Linked DNA regions of Canis lupus familiaris. The protein of the gene in region 1 purifies or fractionates together with the protein of each later gene. This does not show direct contact. Links are inferred from orthologs where the notes say so. Each region holds a gene or a part of one and is shown on either strand. Other genes may lie near its edges. The genes, in order: ZRANB1, MAP4K4, STRN, SLMAP, HECTD1, STRIP1 and STRN3.

Region 1 (3,500 bases):
ATGTACAAATGACTCTCTCAGGTAATCCTCTCCAATGAGTTTGTTTTCATTTACTAAAAAGTGGTATTTCTACAAAGTCTCAATTTCCTGTAGAGTTGATACTGTATATACATCATTATTTAATATCATGTACTTACCTTAAAACTTTTGGAGGATGGTTTTGGTATTGTTTACTTACCTGGATTTTTGAAGAGAGAGGCTATTTACCAGGCATATATGACAATGACTATTTTATGGCAGTTTTTTTTTTTTTTTTTTTTTTTTTTTGTCAGATGCGGACATTTAAATATGTTGTGCTGGCACATTAGTTCCATGAAGATTAGCTAATGTAATGTAAGGTCACAAGCTGTTTAGTTGAGCCTATGAGCATATCAAAGTAAGACTTACTAAAGCAAGCCTGAAATTTTGAATGTGAATATTTTAAATGAAATATGGAAATTACTTCTGGTAGCCTTGAATATATATTCATTATGTCATTTGTTCTTGTCATGATAAGTTTCTACTTGATCATGTTATTTTCCAGTAGCATGAACAACTTATTTATATTTCATTCTTGAGAAACTAAAGGAAGAAACTGCCTGGTGAATATGAAAATTGCCATTAAATTCGATTGTCCCATTTTATGGATGCTTATGATTATAGTTCCTTGCTCTTCACACTTTTGGATGGTGTTAGAGTGTGTGTATCACTGTGTACAAGCTAAATTTCAAAATCTAAGCAATATGAATATAAATAACCTTGGTTAAGGAAAAAATAGAGTTGCTGAAGGAGAAAAAGAATTCAGGCTAAATAAAAGCAATATTTATTTTTTGCTTTTTCTGCTTACTTGGTTTACATCATCTTTCTTCAATAGTAAGTAATACGGGCAGGAACTGACTTAGCACTACTAAGTTAATATTAACCATACCATTAGTGCACATACATGCACGTTTAAGGCTTTAGAGAAAAATGTCTTTCCTATGTCTAATTTGACCAGCTCAATCAGTTAGCTGATTTTTTTTGCTAAATTAATTTGATTTATTAAATTAAAATGCTTAATACATAAAAAATAAAATGCTTAATACAATAATCCATTATTAAAAGAAATGAGTAGATTAAAGGCTTTTTTTTTTTTTTTTTTTTTTTTTAAATAAATACTTCTGGATAAAGTAGCAGGCTTCAAGTGAAACTCAGTTTTGGTTTCCTTTACAGGACTAGCTATTCACAGTCAGACAGAACCACTTAGCACGCTTTGCCAGTGTCTCCTGAGGAAGTCAGAATCTGAGCCAACATGAAGACTGAATCTTGTCTTTGGTCTGATTTATAAAACCTTACTTTTATTCTAACCATGTGCAAGGTGGAGGTTATAGCATGGAAACTAAAACCTTAGTAAGTGTGATTTTTATTTTAGCTATTAAATTATAGCCTTTCTTGTAGTGAATTTGTCCTCTTAATGGAGTTCACACTGTAAATGGGTGAGGACTTGGCAAACAGAGACACAATAATGCACTTAACAAAATGAAAGCTTGAGCTTTTCAGGTCAGGAAAAATCCCTGAGAAAGAGAGGCAAAGGCTTCTGTTACTCTGCCTAGGATTTTTCACTTTTCTGGCTAAAAATAGGTGGCAGGATGATATTAAGTTGAGGGATTTAAGAAAATGAAGAGTCTGGCTTTAGTGTCAGCCATTAAAAGAAAAGTCATTATTAAGTTTGCTGTGGAAGTTACTTCATAGATTAAGTTGGCATTAAATCATGAAGTCTTCATTTTAGTGTAGTGTTAGTAGTAAGCCCAGTCTAGGAAGCTTTTAAATAGTTGAATATATTCTCAGTATGAATTAAATTTTTAGTATATTTTAAATATTGAATATTTTGAGTATGAATATTCAAAATTCTACTGGACTGAGTATATGCTAGTAATTACCTTAGGGACGTTCCGTCGATTTTATTGTCCTAATAGGTGATACACAGTTTTTATCTTTTTGTGCTCCAGACAGAACTAGATTTTGAGGGTGCAGTATTTCGTAGTGTTACTTTTATGAATGTAAGGATTACTTCTTCAACATTTTTCTTTTCTGCCTGTGCTTTTAAGAGCAGTGGATAAGTAAGTAGCATTTTTAAGCTGCTTTTTTTCTTTCTTAGCAAAATGTTAGAATTGACTTTGTTTGATCTTCTGAATTCTTCAGTGAATCAAACATAATGATACTGTACCTAGATAGCATAAGAATCTGTGCTATCATAGATAGTGTTATGTTCATAATTTGAGAATTGTTATGTGTTTATTTGGTTTTTGTGTTCTTTCCATTCTCTTTGAATCTTAACTATTGATTACTTTTCTAAATTGATGATGATGACCTGGCTTAAATTAAGCATTTCTATTAGTAGCTTTTTTTTTTTTTTTTTAACTTGCTTCCCTTTTAGAACAAATCTTTTATCTTCTGCTTATCTCTTTTGCATTCTAAAGTACAATATCATTAAATCCCAAGGTCTAAGATTTTTCCTTGGGACTTATCTCTGGTGTCTCTAATGGAAATTGGAAAAACAAGGATACTTCATTGTTAAATTTTTCAGGCTTCTTTTGAGAGATTTCTATTTTATAAGTTGAAGGGTAGTTTTGTTTTGGGGCACATTTTCAGAGATGAAATTATATAGTTATTGTTTTAATAACCATGTCCTAATTATTTATAGCTCCCTGCCTGACATAACTCACTTCAAGAAGAGCACAATGTCAGAACGTGGAATTAAGTGGGCTTGTGAATATTGTACGTATGAAAACTGGCCATCTGCGATCAAGTGTACTATGTGTCGTGCCCAAAGACCAAGTGGAACAATTATCACAGAAGATCCATTTAAAAGCGGTTCAAGTGATGTTGGTAGAGATTGGGATCCTTCTAGCACCGAAGGAGGAAGTAGTCCTTTGATATGTCCAGACTCTAGTGCAAGACCCAGGGTTAAGTCTTCTTATAGCATGGAAAATGCAAATAAATGGTCATGCCACATGTGCACCTATTTGAACTGGCCAAGAGCAATCAGATGTACCCAGTGCTTATCCCAGCGTAGGACCAGGAGTCCCACAGAATCTCCTCAATCCTCAGGATCTGGTTCCAGACCAGTTGCTTTTTCTGTTGATCCTTGCGAGGAATACAATGATAGAAATAAACCGAACACAAGGACCCAGCATTGGACTTGTTCTATTTGCACGTATGAAAACTGGGCCAAGGCTAAAAAATGTGTTGTTTGTGATCATCCCAGACCTAATAATATTGAAGCAATAGAGTTGGCAGAGACTGAAGAGGCTTCTTCAATAATAAATGAGCAAGACCGAGCTCGGTGGAGGGGAAGCTGCAGCAGTGGGAATAGCCAAAGAAGATCACCTCCTACTATGAAACGGGACTCTGAAATGAAAATGGATTTTCAGAGGATTGAATTGGCTGGTGCTGTTGGCAGCAAGGAGGAACTTGAAGTGGACTTTAAAAAACTAAAGCAAATTAAAAACAGGATGAAAAAGACTGATTGGCTATTCCTC
Region 2 (4,067 bases), on another chromosome or scaffold:
GGTCAGCCACCGGCGCTTTTACAATCCCTCCCGGTGATTCTGACGCACGCAGGTTGGAGAAAGAACCTGCCGCGAGGTAACAGGGAGCCGTTCAAAGTTTTTTGTGGAGCGATGTGATAAAAATGATGGGTGGTGCACACACAATATATTCATCCCTATTTAACAGGATCAAACTGCCCACCTACCGACGAGCTTCCGAAGTTGCTGGCTGAAGCCTGTTTATATCGATCCTTAATGATCTGTAGGCACAAAACGGGGGTTAGCACTTGGGGCCCCCCCCACAGGGCTCACCTCCCGAGCGCGGTAAGGAAGGCAGTGCCAGGCGCTCAGAGGGGCTGTTCTGGGCTCGGTTCCCACGGAGAGCCTCGGGACCCGCGGCCAGGTGATGCTCAGGGGACGCCGCACCTACACGCCTGTCACAAACGTCGCCTGCAAGATAGGAAACGAGAACCGTGTGAGGAAACCGGAAATGAGGGTCGGGGGGGGGGGGTAGAGAACCCATCCGGAGGTGGGGGAGGGGAGGGGAGGGGAAGGGGAAGGGGCAGGGGCAGGGGGCCCGGGGCGACCCCCCTTCGCGCCCCCGCGACGCCGGGGCCGGTGCGCCTCCGCGCGTCTGCGGCCGGGGGCCGCGTCCCTGCGGCTCCGTGTATTGTTAGCGCGAGATGGGGCGTTTCCTCGGCGCCGGCACCTCGGGGGGAGTCCCGGGGCGCCTCCTCCCCGCCCCGGCCGCGGTGCGCGCCGCCCGCCGGCCGGCCATTGTTCGGGCCGCACCCCTGCTGAATATTCACGCCGCGCGGGCGGCTCGCCCCGCGCCCTCCCCGGCGGGGCTCGGGCTGGGAGCGTTTCCGCTCGCTTTTCCTGCCGGGGAGGGCGCGGGGGAGCCGCGTTCTCCCTCCTCAGAATATATTTTCGGTGTCCCGTTTCTCCTCCTCCCGCGCCGCCGCCCCCTCCCTCCCCGCCCCCCTCCCCGCCCCCGCCCCCGCCCCCGCCCCCGCCCCCCGGGTTATCTTTGTCTCGCTGCCTCGCGCTCACTCGCTCAACTCTCGGCGGCGCCGCGGCCCCACGCTCCGGGCCCGTCCTCCAGGCGCGCGGCGCGGGGCGCGGGCGCGGGGCCTGAGGCGCGGGCGACGCCCGGGGGCCTGACGGCCGCCCCGCGCCATGGTGTGAGCGCCGCCGCCGCCCCGCGCACGCTCCGTCCGCCCTCCGCGCGCGGCCCGGGCCGGCCGACAGCCGCCAGCCCGCCGCCGCCGCCGCCGCCGCCGCTGCCCGCGGCCTCTCCGGGCGGAGTCCGGCCGCCCGCTCCCGAGCGAGGAGGCGCCGTCGGCGGCCTGGCCTGCGGCGGGAAGAGATAGGCAGGCGGAGAGATCTACTGGTACTGTTTCGTCTGGTGGCAAAAAGGGAAAATGGCGAACGACTCCCCTGCAAAAAGTCTGGTGGACATCGACCTCTCCTCCCTGCGGGTGAGTGGCCACGACGAGCCCCCCACGGGCGCGCCGGGAGCGGGGAGCGGGGAGCAGGGGCCGCGCCCTGCCCGCCGGGCGCTCGGGCGCTCGGGCGCTCGGGCTCTCGGGCGCAGCGGCCGGCACAGCCGCGGGCGCGGCGGCCCCTTTGTCTGCCTGCGTCGGCGAGTGCGGGGCGGCGGGGCGCGACCCTCCGCGACCCTCCGCGGCCCCCGCGGCCCCCGCGCCCCCCGCGCCCCGGGCGCGGCCCTCGGGCGCTGGGGGACCGCGCGGGGCCAAGCCCGCCGGGTGTGCCGTCGCCCGTTCTCTCCCGCCGCCCCGCTCTATTTATTCATTGTTGTGCTGCTTTTAAAATTCTCACCCCTCCCCTCCTCTTCACCAGGATCCTGCTGGGATTTTTGAGCTGGTGGAAGTGGTTGGAAATGGCACCTACGGACAAGTCTATAAGGTCGGTGCGAGCCTCCGTCTTTGTTTCCCGTGGCACGTTGAAACTTCTGGTTGGGGGAACGAGCAGACGGCTGGTAAACACGCCGCCGACTGCAGGCCACGCCGCTCGGCCGAAGTGGGGAAAGGGGTTTCGCCCTGCAGTCCCTCTTGTTTTTAAACAAGAGTTTATATTCAGGCTGGCCTGAAAGGACCTCACTCATTTCCTGGCTTTGAGATAAGGAAATAAGCTACACTCTTAGGCATGCACTTTTCTCCAGTAAGATGGGAAAACATTTTTTTTTTTTTTTTTCTTCTTCTCCCCGTCAAGGCAACTTTAATTCTTTTCGTTTTCCCCAGTTCCGGCCCTCTTGAGTTTGTGTGTGTTAATTAAAATTCAGTATAGGCAGGCCTGGCCTATGATTATCTTAAACCACTGCCTTGGCCTTCTTGAAAATTGTCATCATGTTGCCTCGTTTTGATGTTTGCCAAGTGCTCAAGGTGAGGAGTTCGGTGTTACCTGGGACTGCTTGCTTCTTAACTCTCTCTCCTACGTTCTACGGATGCATACATACATATTTTGGGGAAGCAGAGAGGGGTGTGTGTTCGGGCACCAGGAGCAGGAAGGATTACAGCATGAGGATTATAAAATCTGAATTCCAGGAATAACCTGTTTGACAGGTGTGTAATTGAAACAGAGATGAGGGAGAGCTCAAGAGGATGCCCGGATTTCACACCCACCCCAGGCCCTTCTCTCTCTCTCTCTCTTTTTTTTGTTTAACCCCGACTCCCCCCCCCCCCCACCCCCCAAGTGAAACTAACAAATCTGGAGACTATGAGTCTCCTCTGAGTAGCTGACACCTGATGTGACTAACAGTGCGGTTCGTTTTGTTCAGTGCACATTGTAGAGCTTCTTGAAAGAGCTGTAGGTAATGGAGGCACAGGCCTTGAAAATTTGAAACAGAATGTTAGATTTCCCCTGTCCTGATTTATTCCTTATTACTAAAGGTTTGCTAAAAGTAATCTGCACTGGGGGTGTTTTCTAGCTGTTAGAGTGGATACAAGGTCCGGCTAGAGGAAAATATCTTATGAAGCAAGGCTTTGTGGTTCACCATGAAGAACTGTCATTGTCTCATTGAAGATGGAGGGAGGGGGGTTGGAAGCTGACTGTAGACATTTTCTTAGGCCAAATTAAGTGTGGATCCTATTGTCTCTCTTACGCTTTATGAATAGGGTTTATCTGTCGCTTGAACGTCTCTCCCCAGCCCCGACTTCCCCTGGCCTGGGCTTCTGTACCAGGCTGTGTACCAGCCAGTGGTCTGAACTTGAGTCTGTATTCTTAGGTGATCTCAAGTGAATTAGCATGTGTTTTGTTGGTTAACTGTTGGGGCTGCGGCCAGATTTTTGAATTTGAAAAGAAGCCCTGTTAACTCAGGCTGCTGGGCTCAACTGAATTTGGAAGCCTTTGGAAAATTTTGGAAAAGAGTGTGTTGCAACTCACTGAGTGGCCTGGTAACTGGCTCTAAGACATTCTCCCCAGCCCCAGTGTTTGTTTAAGCCCCAGTAGGTTTTTTTCTAACCTAGTTTTTCTGGCCAAATCTAAGTGGTGAGTGTACTCTTCCAAGTAAGTTAGCCAAAGCTTGTTTTTGACCTGGTTACACAGTAGTTGGATTGTTTGTATCTTCCTCAGGCAGCATGGATGGATGTGAAGGGCAATGAAGTAAACTAGAAGCCTACAGTCTTGCTTTTAAACCATAAGAAGGAAGAAAGAGTGAAACCTGACTATGAATTAAGTGGCTTTAAGAGGTGGGAGTTCTTTATGGTAACAGTTTGGGCAGGTTCATTGTTCAGTTTTTTTCCCCTCTTCATTTCCTTTGGTTCCGTCTCCTCCTTCCCCCAAGCATTTGAAATAGATTTGCTGAGTGGTGCAGTTGGGAAGCATTTGGAATACTGGCAGTGACACAGCTCTCTGACTACAAAGTCTGTACAGTTGAGAAGAAATTCTCAAATTATGCAAACCTAACGAATTAAGAAATCTGTGCAAGAGTGGCATACACACACAGAATAGTGCCTGAGATTTTGCTCACCAGCAGTTCTTTTTTTATTCTGGAAAATTGCAAGCATACACAAGGAGAGAGAGTAGATCACTCAGTTTAACAGTTAGTCAGTACTTGACTGATCTGC
Region 3 (3,500 bases), on another chromosome or scaffold:
AGTTGGACACAACTGACTCAGCCACCCAGCTGCCCCGATGACCATTTCTATTACAAGAAAGAAATTGAAGAGGTCAGAAGCTCTCTTTGTCATATTTGTCTTCAGATGATAACTATGTGATAAAGAGCTCTGTATCGGGCAGCCCCGGTGGCCGAGCAGTTTAGCGCCGCCTTCAGCCTGGGGTGTGATCCTGGAGACCCGGAATCGAGTCCCACATCAGTGTCCCTGCATGGAGCCTGTTTCTCCCTCTGCCTGTGTCTCTGCCTCTCTCTCTCTCTCTCTCTCTGTGTCTGCCATGAATGAATAAATAAATAAAATCTTAAAAAAAAATGCTCTGTATCTAGAAAGGTGGAGATTTAAATTTGAGTATCGTCTACATGTAAGTAATGATGGAACTTTATTAAAGCAGTAGAAGTATTGCAGATGATCAGAGAATGAGATAGGTCAGTGACCCTAGGCTAAAGCCTGGGTGGCCCCCATTGATTGCAGGTGGAAAAGAAAATTCTCATTTGTGGGTACTTCTATATTTGTTAGTATGGTATTGCTCAGGCAGTTCTTTTCTAAAACATTAAAATTATAAATAGTCACAGAATAAATGAACTAAAAACAAATTAAAGTCAAATCATTTACTTTTTTAGTCTCCTAGGTGAGTATTCAGTTCCCTTGTGTGAAGAAATTAGTAGTTTTGACTAACTTTGTTGCTCTTTTTTTCTTTTTTGCAGCCAGTTCTTCCTGCCAAATAAATAGAGTCATCAGCCATCCCACTCTTCCCATCAGCATTACTGCTCATGAAGACAGGCACATCAAATTCTATGATAACAATACAGGTAAGTGTTTTGCAAAGTGATCAGTGATAAAGCAAAAACAAAAAACAAAAAAACACAAACCCCACTATAAGTACGCTGATTTGGGTGTCTCTTAGTGGCTGCATAGTCCAAGAGTAGGCATGAAAACAGATATAGACACTCCCAGCTCAATTTCTGTTTAATCTGTCCAAATCTGCTAAGAACTAGTCTTCATGGTACTATATAGAATCATCTTGGTTTATTTAATAAGTAGATACTATGTTTTGTCCCTAGAGTCAAGGTTATGAATAGGGACACAATGAAAAGGTCATTCAAATAGCAATAAAACTGATCTCTTGCTGTGAATATATTGGGGAAAAAGTAGAAACATGTTGGAAGTAGAGGCATATGATCATTCTATCATATTTTGTTTAAAATTGTTCAGTGAAAAAAAAAAAGAAAAAAAAATAAAATTGTTCAGTGTTTGCATAGCCTTAGTGTTGGAGTTGGAAACCCAAGTCATTTGGTTAACTTGATTGACTGTCTGGTTCTGATTGATTTGAATTAGGATGTGTGGGCTTTCCCATTTTTTTATTGAATTGCATTTCACCAGTTTAAAAGAAATTCCTGAAGAGCTGTGTTGATAGGAGAACACTCCATATTATCAGCCAAATTTACCTGAGTATCTACTGTTGACTTTTGCTGACTTTGCTTAGCTGTGAGTGATGAGTAATTTAATATTTTAATCCCTTCCTATATGTTATTTCCACCAAAACTGTGGCCAGATTTTCTCTGTTCCTTTATCTTTGTCTCATTCTCTTCTGTTCTCACAACCCATATAATTTACCTGTAGCTAAAGGATGCAAAGTAGCTGTTTAGTAATGTCTGAGTTAATGAACATGACTCAAAGAATATTTGTGTACAAATGACTAACTTTTATATTGTTATTTGGAAGACACAAATATAATCTGAAATTTGAGCTTTTGTTTTTCTTCATTACCATGGCTAGAGTGGGGAGGGAGACACATTGTTGAGCTGTGATGGAAAAAGCTATTAATGCAGTAAGTATTCAGAGAGGTGACTGGAGAAATCAGTGTAACGTGGTAGCTGGCATATATTTCAGGATAAGGAAAACTATTAATAAAGAGCAATAATCTCTTTTTTCCAAAGGCAAACTCATCCACTCCATGGTAGCCCACCTAGAAGCTGTTACAAGTCTAGCAGTTGATCCTAATGGCTTGTACTTGATGTCTGGCAGTAAGTACATCAACTATGGATTACTTATTTATCCTTATTATTTTCATGTTAATGTAATATTTCCTTTCAATTTCTTTTCTTTTCTTTTTTTTCCTTTTGATGCAGGTCATGACTGTTCAATACGTTTATGGAACCTAGAAAGTAAGACATGTATCCAAGAGTTCACAGCTCATCGGAAAAAGTTTGAAGAATCAATTCATGATGTAGCTTTCCATCCATCCAAATGCTATATAGCCAGTGCTGGGGCTGATGCACTAGCTAAAGTCTTTGTATGACACAATGCATCATCTTCACCTTCTAGCTCTTTATAAATAATCAACTGCACAAAAGAGATACAGAAGACCAGGGCAAGAATCAACCTTTCCTGCCCTTTTGTTCTGCTGAAGGAGCACAGAGAACATTTGTTAAAGTATAGTTTTGCAATTCGTATACTGTTTTCTAAAACTAAGGTTTGTTCAGGTTGCTGCAAGCTCAGCTGAATCTGTGAGCCTGAAAACTGTTTCAAATTTTCCCCCAAATAGGAGCTTTTATTTCTGAGGTTGTTCTGATTCGCTAGGCAGGCCTGAGCGAACATAAGTTTAGCCTGTCCCTATTGAGTAAATAGGGCATGCTATAAGGGATAATTAAAAAGCTTGATGACTGGGAATGAGTGGAGGAAGAACAGAAATTTAGACCTAGTTCTCCCCTGAGAATCTTGTTAAACACATTAGGTAGTCAAAACAGTAATCTTTACCATATCTGCTGTACTAACCCCTATGTGCGTAATGACCAGGCAGTGTTAAAATGAGTTTTTAATTTAGCTCTCCTTTCATCTGTGCACATAAAGCACCTGGCAAAGCATTTTACCTATTAGGGGAAAAAAAAAAAAGAAATGCAATAATATGTTAAATATATTATTATTCAGAAATACTAAACAAATATTTAGTTTGTAAGCAGATTTCTATATTGTATTACATTTTTGAAAATAGATTTGGTACCATTGTAAAGTTTAGCTGTCAAAAACAGTCACCGTTATGAATAGTTGATAAGAGTCTGCTTTTACTAATGGGTTTAACTTATTCAAGTTTGAGATTCTGTTTATTTTTAAGGGCAGGCAGGGCATATCTTTATAATACTCTCTGTTAATTTTAAAATTCACTTTATTCATGTGATATTTATAGTACCAGAATGGTTATCTCCTATCGATGAAATCAGACCTTTCAGTGGTTGAAAAGTTGGAAGTTATCTGTGAGTACTCACATTGGTCAAAACCCACAAACCATGCTTCAGATGACCTCTTGCTCTTTGTCTCTCATGTTCAAATTATCTGACATCTACCAAAAACAGTTTAAAATTATTATGTTTTAACAACCCAAAGGGTTTGGTTAATGTCAGGCAGCTGTCTTTGCTGGACTAAATAAAGCAACTCTTTTGTACCCCAGAAGTCCTCCATTAATATATTCAATAAGGGGAATCTGG
Region 4 (3,968 bases), on another chromosome or scaffold:
TGGGAATTTGGGCACACCTAAGGCGGCGGTACGGGACTGTGTTGCCCACAGCTAAGATGACTGCAAATGAACATCTCCTTCGGATGGGTCTGCTCTCTTCGTTCATGGGTATTTTCACTGAGAAGTATAGTGAATACAATTTAGCAAAAGTTGGGGTCTTCTAGCCGAGCTGGTAACGTAGGAAGCTGGCACGTTTTGTCCGGAAAACCTTCAACAGGTCCACTTTTCCCCTGCCCTTAACAAAAATGGCCGTAAGGGTTGTCCCCAGGGTCTGAAGCTCCCAGCCCTTAACTAACATGGCGTCCGGAGGCGCGTTAAAAAGGAGCTTGCCCTCTCTTCTGCCCTTGACCATCATGGCCTCCGTGGCGTCGAACACGTGACGACCCCGGACTACGGCGCGGGAGAGGGGGTAGGAGGGCCCTTGAAGGGTGCGCGTTCCCGTGGCGGTGCACCGGGTAGGTTTCAGTCAGAGTCACTATGGCGGCCGGCGCTGGCAAGGTAAGCTGAGGCGGCGGCGGCGGCCGGGGAGGCTGGACCCGTCGTGGCGTCCGGGCCTTAAATCCCCGCAGCTTGTCCGCGGAGAGGTCGGCCGAGGTCGTGGCCCATCGCAGGGACTGGCGGGGGAGGGGGGGGGCGCGGGTGGAAGGGGGTGCGGGCTGAGGCGGGCGGGCACCGGCGCCTGACGGCCGTTTGTTTTGATGTTTTCCCCACCAGGTCGGAAAGTTTCCTGCCTTGTCGGGCACAGCCTGAGCCTGCCCCACCGGCCGCGAGTGGTGGAGGCTGCGGCGGACCCAGCCCGGGGCCTCCAGGCCTCTCCCCCAATCTCCGGGCCAGCCTCCCTCCCCCACCTTCTCGTCCGCTGGGAGCCGTGGCCGCCGTCCCTGAGATGCGACCCTCGCGGGGGCAACCCTGAGACAAGGCGGCCGGTGTGCTGAGCCACTGCCCGGAGCCCAGGCGTCCAGGCGTCCAGGCGTCCAGGCGCCAACTTCCTGCGGGCCGAGACCCCCGAGCCTCCCCGGGCGTGCGCCTCGCTCGCTCCGCACCGGCCTGCCCAGCCGGATCCCCGCCCTGGGCGCGGGGACGCCCGCCAGGTGCCCGGGAGTCCCGGCTCGGCCGCTGCCCGCGCCTTTGCCTGTCCCCGCGCCTCGCGCCGAGGACCCCAGCCGCCGCCGCCGTCTCGGCTCGTGCCGGGGACCCCGTGCCAGCTCCCGGGCGGTCCTCCGCGCAGCAGGAGCCATGCAGACCGTCCCGCTGGCGATCTAGACCCCCTCGCCGCCCCCCTCGGCCCTGCCCTTCCACTCCCGAGGCCCTTGAAGACGGGCGGTGGCTGCCCAGAGGTGCTCGGCGACACCTTCCTTCGCCCCGAAAGGACCTTCCTGGCCGCACGGAACCGACCGTTCCTTCATGCTGCAGTGCTGCAACGTTTCCGCCACCGAGGGGGAAAAGCGGCCGAGATCCCAAACAAAACACAAGAACTGGCGTGTGACTCATCTGCTTGGATACCTCCAGCCCCCAAACTGTCTTCCAGGAGTTTTCTTGGCCGAAGCTGTCTGATGTTCGAGCCTTCTCTTCCCAGGGAAGAAGATGGACTGAAAGCTGCCAGTTGGGGACTTTGTGCGATCAGGGCGCTGCTGAGTTTTAAAGGAGGTGATGGGGCTTGCGCTGGCTTGTCTTCCCACTCAAGTGAAGAGTTGTTGATGTTCACTGGTTATGCTTAGACAATGCGCAGTTTGTTTTAATTTAAAATTTTGGGGGGGATAGGAAGATAGGCTTGTGAAGGGCAGTCCGGATCCGGTGGAACTCCTCTTTGTCCTCTGGTAGGAGAGACACCCCCCAGTCTGTCCTCGATGCCGTCAGCCTTGGCCATCTTCACTTGCCGCCCGAACTCGCACCCGTTTCAGGAGCGCCATGTCTATCTGGACGAGCCTATTAAAATCGGCCGCTCCGTGGCCCGCTGTCGACCGGCGCAGAATAATGCTACCTTTGATTGCAAAGTGCTGTCAAGGAACCATGCTCTCGTCTGGTTTGATCACAAGACGGGCAAGGTAATGTCACCGTATTATCTAACAGTCTTTCCTTTTCGTTTCCCTTTGCTCCTTTTGCATAATGTATGCAGAATCCCAGCGTTTGCACCCAAGCGAGGCTTTTCAGCAAGGCCGTGGAAACCAACTTTGTGTGTGTCTAGTTCTACTGGAAGTTTAGTTGAGGTGGTTGAATGGAAAACAGAGAAGGTATTGTAATTAAATGCCTCGGGAGGGCGATGGCATCTTGATAATGTGGTCCTTCCCAGTGAAATCCCAAACCCTAATTCATTTTGGGGAGGGGGGTGGAAACTAGATAGTGAAACTTGGCTTCTCGCTTCCAGTCTTTTTAGAAAGGTGAATTTGCCGTTCAGGGCTTGAGTAAGCAAGCAGCAGTTCCCAAAGCAATGCAGGGAATCTATGGTCAGTGTTAACACTGAGGCTCAGGTGTCTCAGTGGTGAGATGTAGTTAACACAGCTTTTAGTTGAGTCCAGATTGGGGTCTTTCTAGGAAGGACAGATGTTTGTGTAAACTTAACATTTTTGACAGATTTGATACGTGTATTTACCCACGAAGGAGTAATTTGCAATTTTCAAAGCCAATTTCATTAAGCATAAACAACTGTAACTTTACATTTTCAGAGTTTTGTTTGCAGCTTGAGTGAACAGACATATATTGCTTTTGAAAATCACTTTTTGGCATTCCCTGCAAGAACTTATTAAAAATACCTAATGCATACTTACAGAGGAGATACTTAAAAAAATCAGTGTTAGGAAATTAATTTATTTTCTGAGATTATATCCAATTGTATCAAATACTGCATTACCTAGATGGGATAGGATGAATTTAATGCTCTTTAAGTGTGACCCTTTTGCATTTTTGTGTTGGCACCCTAATTTCCTTACCTGTAGGTGCTTATATTTTAAGAATAGAAGAAAACAAATAAGTCCCTTTCAATTTTAAGAACTTTTTATGTGTGTGGAGAATATACTAAAAAAAACTCATTTTTGTGCTTTTACCTCGGGTTTTAGTTGAACTACTGAATCAGTTCCAACTTTAGAGTAAGTTATGTAAGACTAATAGGAATACCTTGGGTTTCACCTCCTGACTTTTCCCTCCCTCTTTGAGTTAAATGATTATGTCTTTTTTAAAAGAAGAATTTAAGTTTTCAGTAGTAGTATTTTGAAATGAAAGAGACCTGAGCCTCAGAAAAAAAGAGAGAAAGCAATACTTCTGTTGCTACTGAATTAAGGAATTATTATATAAATCATTTTTCAGGAAAGGAGGAAAAGATTGTGCTTGCATAATACCTATGCCCTACTCTGTGTAGGATGAGAACTGAAAAATATGTTAATTTTTCTGTATAACACCAGATGTTCACTTACCTATGGAACAGACTCTTTTTTTTCTTCCCTGGAAACTAGAGTTTGGGTGTCTGAAAGACTTCATAGATTACCCATAATCATTTAAAATGAGTATTCATAGAACCCATCTTTCTAGCTATTAAATTCAAACATCAATTAACTGCTAGTGCCCTAACTCAGCCAGCTTTTTTCTTGTCTAAGCAAAGGTCCAACTTAATCAAATAATAGGTTTGCTTAAAGTACATAATCTGCAAATGCACCTGCTTTACTTTGGTACATTACTCAAAGGAGACTTAGATATTTTCTATTACTTATTTAAAAAATAGTGATTACGTGAACAGTAGTGCTTTTCATGGCTATACCAAAACCCCCACAGTAAGGTTATTCTGTGATGGCTAAGGCTAGATCCATATTGAGTATTGTATAAATTGAGATGACATGTTAAAAAAAATTTTTTTTAAAGATTGTATTTATTTATTCATGAGAGACACAGAGAAAGAGAGAGGCAGAGACACAGGCAGAGGTAGAAGCAGGCTCCCTATAGGGAGCCTGACGTGGGACTTGATCCCAGGTCTACAGGAT
Region 5 (3,500 bases), on another chromosome or scaffold:
TACCTCACAAATTCTGCTTTTGATCGAACTGTCGTCTTATATGGGTTTATATAGCAGGTATTAGACTATTTATAAGAGAAAAGTTAGAGCTAAAGTCAGTTAGTTTAATATTGTGCCAATGTACTGAACTGTTTTAACGTGTATAATTTCATTTAACTTTCATATCATACATAAAGTAGATATTTTTTAGATACTGTCTTTGCTTTACAAATGAGGAAACAGGACCAGAAGGGTTACAAAGATGTTGTATGTTTTATCCTTACCTATTAAATGCCAGGTCAGCACTTATTCCCAGTAAAACATGAATTAAACAATGTTCCTGGCCTTCAGAACCTTTTAAGGTAAATAAAGAAATAAAGTGATAGATTAAATAGTGTGAGTACTGTTTGTATAGGCTCTAGGAACATGAAAGTACCACTTAGTGATTTGAGGAGGTTAGGGAAGGTTTTACAGAGCAGTTGATGTTTGAACTGAGTATTGAATAGGAATTTTTTTTAAACAAGATTTTGAGTTAATGCTGCTACTTTAAACTGTTGATAACTTGATATTTTCAGCATGTGAGTATTCTGGAAAGGAAAGCAATGTGAGAAATATTACCTAGTACACATCAGACACAGTATTGAATGTGATGCATTGTTACAGTTTTTATTTATTATTTTGTTAATACTTTGATGTGAAGAATTTAGTAATACGATTTTTTAGGTGTAATACGATTTTTTTCTCTACAGATGTCCTCCTCGCACTTTCTTACCAGCCCTCTGCAAAATTTTTCTTGATGAAAGTGCTCCAGACAATGTGTTAGAAGTGACAGCTCGTGCCATCACGTACTACCTGGATGTATCTGCAGAATGCACCCGAAGGATTGTTGGGGTTGATGGAGCTATAAAAGCACTTTGTAATCGTTTAGTTGTGGTTGAACTTAATAACAGGACTAGCAGAGACTTAGCTGAACAGTGTGTAAAGGTAAGTTTTAAGTATTTATTGGCCCATTTGAAGATGACTAGAGAATAAAAAATACATTTCACTAAAAAAAGAAAATTTTTTTCATTATTCTTACTTTATTGAGAGTGGTTGACAACAGTGGAAGTCACAGTCCTTGTGGCACCAAAAAAGATCCCATAAAGTTTAGGAAAAGAAATCTTAGAAGTTTAGGAAAAGAAAATTGTAGGTCAGTGATACTGCTCTTTTGTGCTGGTTCTTGGGTTTCTTGTAGCTTTTGAGATAGGTTATTCCTGTTCTTAGCCAAAATGATTTTTTATGAAAGTAGTAATAACAGCAGCTAATACTATCAGAGTCAGACATTATACTAAACACTTTACATGTGTTAACTCATTTAGTCTTTATTTTTTTTAATTTTTTTTTTAATTTTTTTTTTTTTTTTTATTCATGATAGGCACACAGTGAGAGAGAGAGAGGCAGAGACACAGGCAGAGGGAGAAGCAGGCTCCATGCACCGGGAGCCTGACGTGGGATTCGATCCCGGATCTCCAGGATCGCGCCCTGGGCCAAAGGCAGGCGCCAAACCGCTGCGCCACCCAGGGATCCCTCATTTAGTCTTTATAACAATTTTATATGAGGCAGGTGCTGCTAATATCAGCATTTCTATATTTTATTTGAAAAAATTTCAAGCATATTGCGGTTAACTAACTTGATTGGTGGTGATACAGATAATTCGTGGCAGAGCCACGATTCCACTATCGGAAGAGTAGGAGTTTGAACACTATTGGAAGAGTAGGAGTTTGAAATTAGGAAGTCTGGTTTGTGGGCCCATGAATTTAACTATTTTTCTGTACTTCCTTTAGAGTAGCTCTTTTGTTTTATTCCTGTTGGGACTAATTATAAATTTTATGTGACTTTAAAAAGCACCAGCACTGGGTCAGTAGTTTATTAGAACTACTTGAATTTATGAAAAGCTATATGTGATACCGTAACCGACTGAATGCAGAAGTAAATATGAGGATCTCTTATCAACAATGCTACTATTTTCACTGAGTTTCTATCTGTTCAGGAAATAATTATTTTCATTAAAATGTATGTTAAACACATAATGAGTTTCTTATTTCAAGTAAACATATGTTCTAAATTTGTTTTAATATCTAATATAGTAAAGATAAATAGATATAACCTACATAAACAAAGGCTCTTTGAGGGCCCCTCGATAATAAGACTATAAAGGGATCCTGAGGCAGAAAGTTTGAAAACTGCTGACCCAGAGCAGCAGAATCATAGTAAGAATGAAATAAGAATCACAAATAAAAAATCATGTAAAATCTAAATGTGTTCATCAAGTAGTTCTAAAATAATAATAATAATTTCAAACTTTCTTGTCTTTCATACCCTGCTCTTTTTTTGTTCCCTTTTCTGATTATTGTTATTATTCTTAAATGGTAGTATTTTCTTTTTTTACCTTTTTAAAACTATAACTTTGCTTAGATAATCTCATCTATCAGCATTAATACCATTCATTTGTATATATCCCTCACATCTTATCTCTAGACCTGACCTCTTTCTTGAGGTCCAGACTCCATATTCAAAGGCTTTTTGAATAGCTCCAACCAGCTGTTTGAATTAATAATATTTTACTGCAGATTCAGTTATTTTGATAATTGGCATCAAATTCACCCAGTCACTCTAGGCAGAAACCTGTGCTTTATCCTTTATTTCCTTTTTTCCTCTCCATACATGTAGTTATTAATGAAGTGATTTTCTAGTTTATTTCCTTTTGTCTCTGTTGTTATTACCTTAGTTAAGCTATCATTCTCTCTTGAATATTAATGCTTGAATTTATTTTTACATTTGCCTCTACACTCTCCCTATGCCCCATTCCCAGTTACTAACTGGAAATATCATCTTTTTCTGCTTAAAACAGTTTTCTTAAAACAAGTTTTTTTTTTTTTTTTTTTAAAGCTTTTATTTGTTTATTTGACAGAGAAAGTGTGTGCACAAGCGGGATGCGGGGGGTGGGCAGGAGAGGGAGAAACAGGTTCCCTGCTGAGCAGGGAGCCCATTGTGGGGCTCAATCCCAGACCCTGGGATCATGACCCGAGCAAAGGTATCCCAAGCACTTTTTTTGCTTAAAGAATAAAATCTAAATTTTCTGCTATGTCCATAAGATCTGTGGACTCTGTTAACTCTTTAGTGTTCTACCCGAACCCCTTAAGCATCAGCATAATTTGGAAATAAGAGTTAATTTTTAATGTTTTAACATTCCTAGAGTGTGAGGATGATGAATGTAATAGCAAGCATTATTTATTTATTTAATGTGTAAGACCTGTATAAACTTCTGCTAAGTTACTTTAGTTGCTTAACTTACTATGCAGGCTTCACCATCTGAACCTAGTGTCTAATATGGTAGCCATATTTATATTTCAAATGTGGCTACCCCAAATTAAGATATGCTGTAAGTATAAAATATACTTGGGATTTTGAAGACTTAATACATAAAAGAATTTGGGGCACCTAGGTGGCCCAGGTGGTTGAGCATTGGACTCTTGATTTCT
Region 6 (3,500 bases), on another chromosome or scaffold:
GCAGACAGTGATGCTCCTTGGCCATGCACTCTGTGCCCAGCAGTGGTCTTTCCTAGAGCAGTAGGTCACTCATGAGGCTTGCCAACAAATGTGCCTGCATCTGTGCACATCTGTTACTGCCACTGCTACTCACATGTAATGTGAAGCTAGCCTGAGCTGCTTCTCAGGCCTCCATAGTACAGGTCCTATTTAGGAGGTCAGGGCCACCTGAGAGACACTTATCCATGGTGGCAGTCAGCCTTGTCATGGCATGGTGGGATTGATGTGCACAGGACTGGAAAGGCCTGGATTTATGTGGCATTCTGATTATCGGCTGCTAGCGGGAATCAGCACTCTCTGCATCGTGCACATCAGAGCACTCACACCCCCTTAGTCATTGGATAGTCTGGGAGTCACTGTGATTCAGGGAGACTGGGGCCTAGAAGCAGATGCCTTATATTCTTTGCTACCTATGAGAACTGCTATGGAAGGTGGACGTGGAGCTAATGAGACTTTGTTCTTAATAGAGCTTTACAGCTACACGGAAGGGCCAGAATTCCTGATGAATCGAAAATGCTTTGAGGAGGACTTCCGGATCCATGGTGAGCCGGTTCCCTGCACTTGTTGGTTCCTCTGTCCCTGTGTGGTGAGAGCTGCAGAGTTTCTCTTAGTCATCTGAGCGACTTGAGTCATTCTGGACTGGCCTAAGAGACCTGCTGAACCATGATTGTTCAAGGCCCCCTGTGAGCTTTAGAGGGGGATTGCTGGTACTCTGGTGGTGGCTTTTCAGAGTGTGAATATGGGGAGCGGAGGAAGCTTTATGTGATAAAAATAACATAAAAAATATCAGTGTTTCAGTCTGGAAATCTGTAGAGCAGCAGCATGACCTTCCACCTTATGTAGAGAGTAACTTCTCTTACTGAGTTTTCTGGTCTTGTGGCAGTCTTGAATTTGGTGAGTTAGCATTGTGTTCATTCCATTGTGAGGACTTTTTTTTTTTTTTTTTTTTAAGATTTTATTTATTTATTCATAGAGACAGAGAGAGGCAGAGGGAGAAGCAGGCTCCATGCAGGGAGCCCGATGCGGGACTCGATCCCAGGTCTCCAGGATCACACCCCAGGCTGCAGGCGGTGCCAAACCGCTGCGCCACTGGGGCTGCCCGCCATTGTGAGGACTTTTCTGGGCTCAAGTATAACTGGTCTCTTGCCCTGCAGTAACAGATAAGAAATGGACCGAGCTGGATACTAACGAGCACCGTACCCATGCTATGAGGCTCCTGGATGGCTTGGAAGTCACTGCCAGGGAGAAAAGACTCAAGGTGGCTCGAGCAATTCTCTACGTTGCCCAAGGTACTGAGTGGGCCCCCGGATACCCTGACACTGCCTTCACTGACGTTGCCCAGTCAGATCTGGGGAAGGACTCCATGAGCCCTGTGTCTGCAGGCACCTTTGGAGAGTGTAGCTCGGAGGCAGAGGTGCAGTCCTGGATGCGCTACAACATCTTTCTGCTCCTGGAGGTGGGCACGTTCAATGCTTTGGTGGAACTTCTGAACATGGAAATAGAGTGAGTCCGTCTGAGGAGCTGGAGTAGGGAAGGGGAGGCAGGGGTCGAGGGGACAGAGCTGGCAGGACTCAGGTCTCAGAGGAGGGTGACTGGGCCTAGTAAGGCTGAGGGCGTGGTCCAGGCTCTGTTCTGAGCAGTCAGGTTGAGCTGTGGCCTCTTGTGCAGTCAAAGCACATATATAGTTTTATTCCTCCACTGGGTGGCCCTTGTCAGGGGAACTCCTCCTCTTCCTTCCTGGGGGAAGACTTGACTCCCAAATCTCTCCTGCAGCAATAGTGCCGCCTGCAGCAGTGCAGTGAGGAAGCCGGCCATCTCCTTGGCTGACAGCACAGACCTGAGGTGAGGCAGGCAGCAAGCCTGGGTTCCCTGAGAATGAGATCAGAGCGGGCAGCAGGAGGGTGTCTTCGGGTGCCCTCGCTGTGGGTGTGCTCCTTCTGAGCATGCTGATCTTCATGTGTCCTGAGTCAGCCCTGCAGAAGGTTCTCCCTCGGTGGGCCTCTGGGCTGTATCCCTCACAGGAAACCTAGGGTGAAGCCACTTATTAGAGCCACAATGAGATATGGCCTCCTGCCCACACTTTTGCTGAGAACTTGGTGGTGTGGTACTTTGTGATTGGTGAAATGCATGACGTGGCTACTTGGGCTCCACCTTCTGGTACGCAGCTCGACCCCCATCTACTTGATGATATTTTGTGGCTGCACAGGAGGTAGCAACTGCTGAACAATGAGATCACCTTCCCATTTTTGTGAGGCTTAGCATCTTTGTCTCTGAGTTTGGGAGTTTTCAGACCTGGTGTTGGTGGTCTTCCCCACTATGGTCGGGTCCCTGGGCACTGCCCGCTGGCTCCCTATTTCTGCTCCATCACGGTAGCTTTGACCCCGTGCTGCTTTGTCTGATCTGGCACCTACTTCCACAGTTCGCTCCCACCTCTGAGTTTTTCTTGCTCCAGGAAGCTTAGGACCCGAAATGTTTTGAGCCTTTCTTGTTCATGTTAATCCATTCAGCAACCCATTGATGAAGCACCTGCTTTGATATCCACTTAGCTCGACGCTGCTGAAATATCAAGCAGAGTAAGATCTGGTCAGGATCTTAACAGCAGAGACCAAGAAATGGCACACCAAGAGGTGCTCTGTGGGACTCTTGGTTTTCTCTGCGTCACAGCCCTCGCCCCCAGCTAGCCTTTGTGCAAGCACTTTCCTCATGTCAGCTAGACTGTGGGGAAGCTGGGACACTCCCTTGCTTCCCCATTCTGCACCATTATGAGCTGGCTCTTGTTCCCAGGGTCCTGCTCAACATCATGTACCTGATTGTGGAGACCGTTCACCAGGAATGTGAGGGCGATAAGGCTGAGTGGAGGACCATACGACAGACCTTCAGGGCTGAGCTGGGTAGGCCCCTAGAGATCCTGGGGTGCTGAGGCCCTGCCTGGAAGCAGAGGCTTCTGGCCTTTGGGAGGGTCCTGTTCCTGCTGGTGGGCCTGATCCCTTAGTGTTCCCTCTAGGTTCCCCCCTGTACAACAATGAACCATTTGCCATCATGCTGTTTGGGATGGTGACCAAATTTTGCAGCGGCCATGCCCCTCACTTCCCCATGAAGAAAGTTCTCTTGCTGCTCTGGAAGACAGTGTTGGTGAGCATTGCCTTGAAGGGGAACTCAGCTCCTAGGGATCGGGGCAGGAGGGAGACTTTTCATTGTATATCTTTTTAAATGTTGAATTATGTGAAAAACTATATGTGAATTAATATATAACTAACTGCTTTGACACTTTTGTCTCACTATGGTCAAAGAGGACTTGGCCCTTGGGTCGGAATAGATTGTGGGCTCCCTGACTCCTGGAAGCTGCTTCTCTAGCCCTAAAATGCCTTCTTTCCAACCAGGCTGCTTCTGAACCTGGAGCATATAAAGTGATTGGAGGCAGAATTAGAGCTGGTGTAATCGGGTCCCCTCAGTCAGAGGTC
Region 7 (3,500 bases), on another chromosome or scaffold:
TAGAAATTGTAATAAACAGTATGAAGATAAAAGTAATATGAAAGAGAGTCTCTTTAGATATAGTCCAAAACAGTGACATTTAAGACAAAATCTAAAGGATGAAAGGAAACCTTCAGGGGTTCCTGGTGGCTCAGTCATTTGAGTGTCTGACTCTTGGTTTTGGCTCAGTTTATGATCTCAGTGTCGTGGGACTGAGCCTGGGACAATCTCTGCACTAAGCACAGAGTCTGCTTGAGATTCTTTTTCCCTCTGTTCCTCCTGCTCGCTCGCTCACTCTCTCTCTCTTTCTCTCAGATAAATAAATAGATAAATAAATAAGTAAATTATTTTAAAAAAAAAAAAGAAGCTTTTAATAAAGAATTTTAAGCCAGGAAGTGACCAGTAAAGGTGGATTTTAAAAGGTGACTCTGGTTATTATAAGGAGAATAGATTGGGGTGGGAAAAGTGAAGAAAAGAATACAAATATAATGTTATAATGTAAAGTTGTAGTGTAAGGGTCTAGTAGACTAGGTGAAAGGTGATGTTTCCATGGTCATGAGGACAGTGAAGCAGTTGGTAGCAGAGTGGTTGGGAGAGAAACGGATTTGGGATGCACTGGGAAGTAGATAGGATAGGCAGAATCTGGTGATAAAGTGGATAGTGATTGAGTGGACAAAGTGATGGGTAAGTGATTCTTAATTTTGTTACTTTGTAAAACAGCTTTATTAAGATATAATTCACATGACAAAATTCACCTTTTTTATGTATACAGTTCAGTAGTTTTTATTATATTCACAGGACTGTGCATCCATCACCACTAATTCAGGACATTTTTATCACCACTTCTGAATTTTTTTGACATGAGCAGTTGGTATATAATGGTAGCATATTGAAATGGGGGCAGAACAGGTGTGAAAAGATTAAAGATGATGGCTTTAGATTTCAGTCATGTTCAGGTTACTACTATCAAGTAGTTAATAATCAAGATAGGAGAATGGATTGTATAACACAGGGGAAGTTATGTTGTGCAGGGCACAAAGGGAAGGCAAGTACGGAGGAACTCTGACATTGGGAGAGTGACTAGAGCAGGAGAGCCAGCAAAGAAAACTGAGAAGGAGAGAGACCAAGGTGGCTCAGCGGTTGAGCACCTGCCTTCGGCCCAGGGCATAATCCTGAAGTCCCGGGATCGAGTTCCCTATCAGACTCCTTGCGTGGAGCCTGCTTCTTCCTCTGCCTGTGTCTCTGCCTCTCTCTCTCTCTCTCTCTCTCTGTGTGTCTCTCATGAATAAGTAAATAAAATCTTATAAAAAAAGAAAACTGAGAACGAGTGGCCTGTGAGGAAGGAGGAGGTACAGGAAAATGTGGGATCATGGAAGCATGCCAAAAGAAAAAAACATTTTGAGAACAAGGTAGCAATCTGCACTTTCATATTTTGCTAAGAGGTCTAATATGAGGATAGATAGCAAAGTTCCTTTTTTTTTTTTATATGACAAATAGGTCACCTGGGTCTTAGCGAGAGGTTGGATGCTGGGACTAAGATCAGAGCAGAGGGTGAAGGGACCTGTGGGCAACTTTTCAAGGCACACTCTGGATGAAAAGCAATGTGATGAGAATAACCAAGAAAAGAAATGTTCAAAGAAAGAAAAATTTGGGGAACCTGAGTGGTTCAGTCGGTTAAGTGTCTGCCTTTGGCTCAGGTCATGATCACAGGGTCCTGAGAAGGAGCCCCATAACAGGTTCTCCTCAGCAGGGAGTCTGCCTCTCCCTCTTCCTCTATGCTTACTCTTTTGTTTTCTCACTCTCTCAAATAAATAATCTAAGAAAAGAAAAATTTTATTAAACTTGTTAGAAGAAAGTTTGTCATTGGTGATTTTAGCAAGAGTTATTTTGGTGGAAAAAAAGTTATTTTGGTGTAGTGATGCTATGAGAAACCATGTTACACTGATTTAGAGAGTGAATGAAAGGTAAAAAAGCATTTTACTCAATATGCTCTTCTGCTATCTGTTGGAAGGGTGATACAAGGTTTTTATTTGAGTCAGTAGATTCTAGAGCATATTTGTTTGCTGTGGTAATGATCCTAAGGAGAAGGAGAATTATTGTATAGTAGGGAAACTATAAACATGAAAGCAAGTTAGTAGGTTGAATGGAATCCAGAATTTACCTGATAGAATTATCATTTGAGAAGAAAGTAGACAGTTCTTCTATCTGGAAGCAAGGAGTAAGGTGGCTCTAGACACTAGTAAGTAGATTGAGTGGAGGAAAGACAGGAGAGGGGTTCTTAATTTCATTGCTGTATTTTCTCAGTGAAATCGATAATCAGAGATAATCATTCTGAAGAAGGGAAGTTGGAAACTGAAAATTCTGGAGATAATAAGAAATAGTTGTGGGAAGTCGGAATTTTCTAAAGAAACAGGATTGTAGGCCAGATGGTGCACAGTGTTATTATTAGCCACCATGTCCATCAAACGGTAAATGGATACGTAAAATGTAGTATATCTATTCAATGGATATTATTTGGCATTTAGAAGAAATTCTTTAAAAAAAAAAAAAGAATGTTATAGCATGTCTCTCATGTACTGAGAGACATGCTATAGCATGGATGAACCTCGGAAACATTATGCCAGTCACGAAAGGCCAGTTGTATGAAATGTCCAGAATAGACAAACTTAGAGAAACAAAGTAGATTAGTGGTTATGTGGGCTGCAGAAAAGCAGGAAGAATTGGCAGTGGGGGGTGGGAATGGCTAATAAGTGATGGAAATGTCCTCAAATCGATTGTATAATAAAAGCCATTGAATTGTACACTTTCTTTTTTTTAAGATTTTATTTGTTTGAGAGAGAAAGAGGGCGAGCAAGAGTGGGGGCAGACAGGGGCACAAGGAGAAGGACAAGCAGACTCCCTGCTGTGGAGCCCAACATGGGGCTTGATTCCAGGTCCCTGAGATCATGACCTGAGCCAAAGCTAGGCATTGGGCAGCTGAGCCACCCAGGTGCCCCCTCGAATTATACACTTTAAATTGGTGAATTATGTGATACGGGAATTATATTTCATTAAAGCTGTTTCTTGAAAGTGTATGTTCTTTATAGAAAATTCCAAGAATACAGGAAAGAATTATGGTGGGGATAAAAAATAACCCATAATTCCACAATTTAAAGATGACCACTTCAGTTCTTCTTATGACCATTATGGGTAGTCTTTATACTTAATTATATGGTGAGTTATCTTTATCCAAAACATTTTTTTCCAACTTCTTTTAGCTAATTTGTGTTTGTTTGTTGTTTCTTCCCAGAGCCAAATGTTCTAGCTGGCACTTTAGTTGCACATACAGATGCTGTCTGGGGTCTTGCTTATAGTGGCATAAAAAATCAATTACTGTCTTGTTCAGCAGATGGCACTGTTAGGTTATGGAATCCACAAGAAAAATTGCCATGTATTTGCACTTACAATGGAGACAAGGGTAAGTAAATTTTGCCCTATAAAAAAAAAAAAACGCTAATTTTTTTAGAATTTGGAAGATAGAA

What was found.
Region 2: the proteins of ZRANB1 (region 1) and MAP4K4 purify together in Homo sapiens (affinity purification with mass spectrometry; 3 studies listed by BioGRID and IntAct, with this or other methods). This does not show direct contact. The link is inferred for Canis lupus familiaris from reciprocal best matches to the Homo sapiens genes ZRANB1 and MAP4K4.
Region 3: the proteins of ZRANB1 (region 1) and STRN purify together in Homo sapiens (affinity purification with mass spectrometry; 4 studies listed by BioGRID and IntAct, with this or other methods). This does not show direct contact. The link is inferred for Canis lupus familiaris from reciprocal best matches to the Homo sapiens genes ZRANB1 and STRN.
Region 4: the proteins of ZRANB1 (region 1) and SLMAP purify together in Homo sapiens (affinity purification with mass spectrometry; 3 studies listed by BioGRID and IntAct, with this or other methods). This does not show direct contact. The link is inferred for Canis lupus familiaris from reciprocal best matches to the Homo sapiens genes ZRANB1 and SLMAP.
Region 5: the proteins of ZRANB1 (region 1) and HECTD1 purify together in Homo sapiens (affinity purification with mass spectrometry; 5 studies listed by BioGRID and IntAct, with this or other methods). This does not show direct contact. The link is inferred for Canis lupus familiaris from reciprocal best matches to the Homo sapiens genes ZRANB1 and HECTD1.
Region 6: the proteins of ZRANB1 (region 1) and STRIP1 purify together in Homo sapiens (affinity purification with mass spectrometry; 4 studies listed by BioGRID and IntAct, with this or other methods). This does not show direct contact. The link is inferred for Canis lupus familiaris from reciprocal best matches to the Homo sapiens genes ZRANB1 and STRIP1.
Region 7: the proteins of ZRANB1 (region 1) and STRN3 purify together in Homo sapiens (affinity purification with mass spectrometry; 4 studies listed by BioGRID and IntAct, with this or other methods). This does not show direct contact. The link is inferred for Canis lupus familiaris from reciprocal best matches to the Homo sapiens genes ZRANB1 and STRN3.

What each region holds. Positions count from the first base shown.
Region 1 is NC_049249.1:34,577,078-34,580,577, forward strand, and holds part of ZRANB1 (ubiquitin thioesterase ZRANB1), read left to right. Parts: intron 1-1,191; 5' UTR 1,192-1,327; coding exon 1,328-1,368; intron 1,369-2,662; coding exon 2,663-3,500. UniProt on the Homo sapiens protein: Ubiquitin thioesterase, which specifically hydrolyzes 'Lys-29'-linked and 'Lys-33'-linked diubiquitin. Also cleaves 'Lys-63'-linked chains, but with 40-fold less efficiency compared to 'Lys-29'-linked ones.
Region 2 is NC_049231.1:42,329,020-42,333,086, reverse strand, and holds the start of MAP4K4 (mitogen-activated protein kinase kinase kinase kinase 4), read left to right. Parts: upstream 1-1,267; 5' UTR 1,268-1,403; coding exon 1,404-1,460; intron 1,461-1,842; coding exon 1,843-1,908; intron 1,909-4,067.
Region 3 is NC_049238.1:29,431,954-29,435,453, reverse strand, and holds part of STRN (striatin), read left to right. Parts: intron 1-722; coding exon 723-827; intron 828-1,955; coding exon 1,956-2,042; intron 2,043-2,147; coding exon 2,148-2,317; 3' UTR 2,318-3,500. UniProt on the Homo sapiens protein: Calmodulin-binding scaffolding protein which is the center of the striatin-interacting phosphatase and kinase (STRIPAK) complexes.
Region 4 is NC_049241.1:32,993,912-32,997,879, reverse strand, and holds the start of SLMAP (sarcolemmal membrane-associated protein), read left to right. Parts: upstream 1-1,168; 5' UTR 1,169-1,847; coding exon 1,848-2,045; intron 2,046-3,968. UniProt on the Homo sapiens protein: Associates with the striatin-interacting phosphatase and kinase (STRIPAK) core complex, forming the extended (SIKE1:SLMAP)STRIPAK complex.
Region 5 is NC_049229.1:10,611,040-10,614,539, reverse strand, and holds part of HECTD1 (E3 ubiquitin-protein ligase HECTD1), read left to right. Parts: intron 1-728; coding exon 729-963; intron 964-3,500. UniProt on the Homo sapiens protein: E3 ubiquitin-protein ligase which accepts ubiquitin from an E2 ubiquitin-conjugating enzyme in the form of a thioester and then directly transfers the ubiquitin to targeted substrates.
Region 6 is NC_049227.1:42,381,655-42,385,154, reverse strand, and holds part of STRIP1 (striatin-interacting protein 1), read left to right. Parts: intron 1-506; coding exon 507-581; intron 582-1,193; coding exon 1,194-1,328; intron 1,329-1,421; coding exon 1,422-1,542; intron 1,543-1,812; coding exon 1,813-1,881; intron 1,882-2,823; coding exon 2,824-2,930; intron 2,931-3,043; coding exon 3,044-3,171; intron 3,172-3,500. UniProt on the Homo sapiens protein: Plays a role in the regulation of cell morphology and cytoskeletal organization. Required in the cortical actin filament dynamics and cell shape. Part of the striatin-interacting phosphatase and kinase (STRIPAK) complexes.
Region 7 is NC_049229.1:10,381,929-10,385,428, reverse strand, and holds part of STRN3 (striatin-3), read left to right. Parts: intron 1-3,268; coding exon 3,269-3,436; intron 3,437-3,500. UniProt on the Homo sapiens protein: Calmodulin-binding scaffolding protein which is the center of the striatin-interacting phosphatase and kinase (STRIPAK) complexes.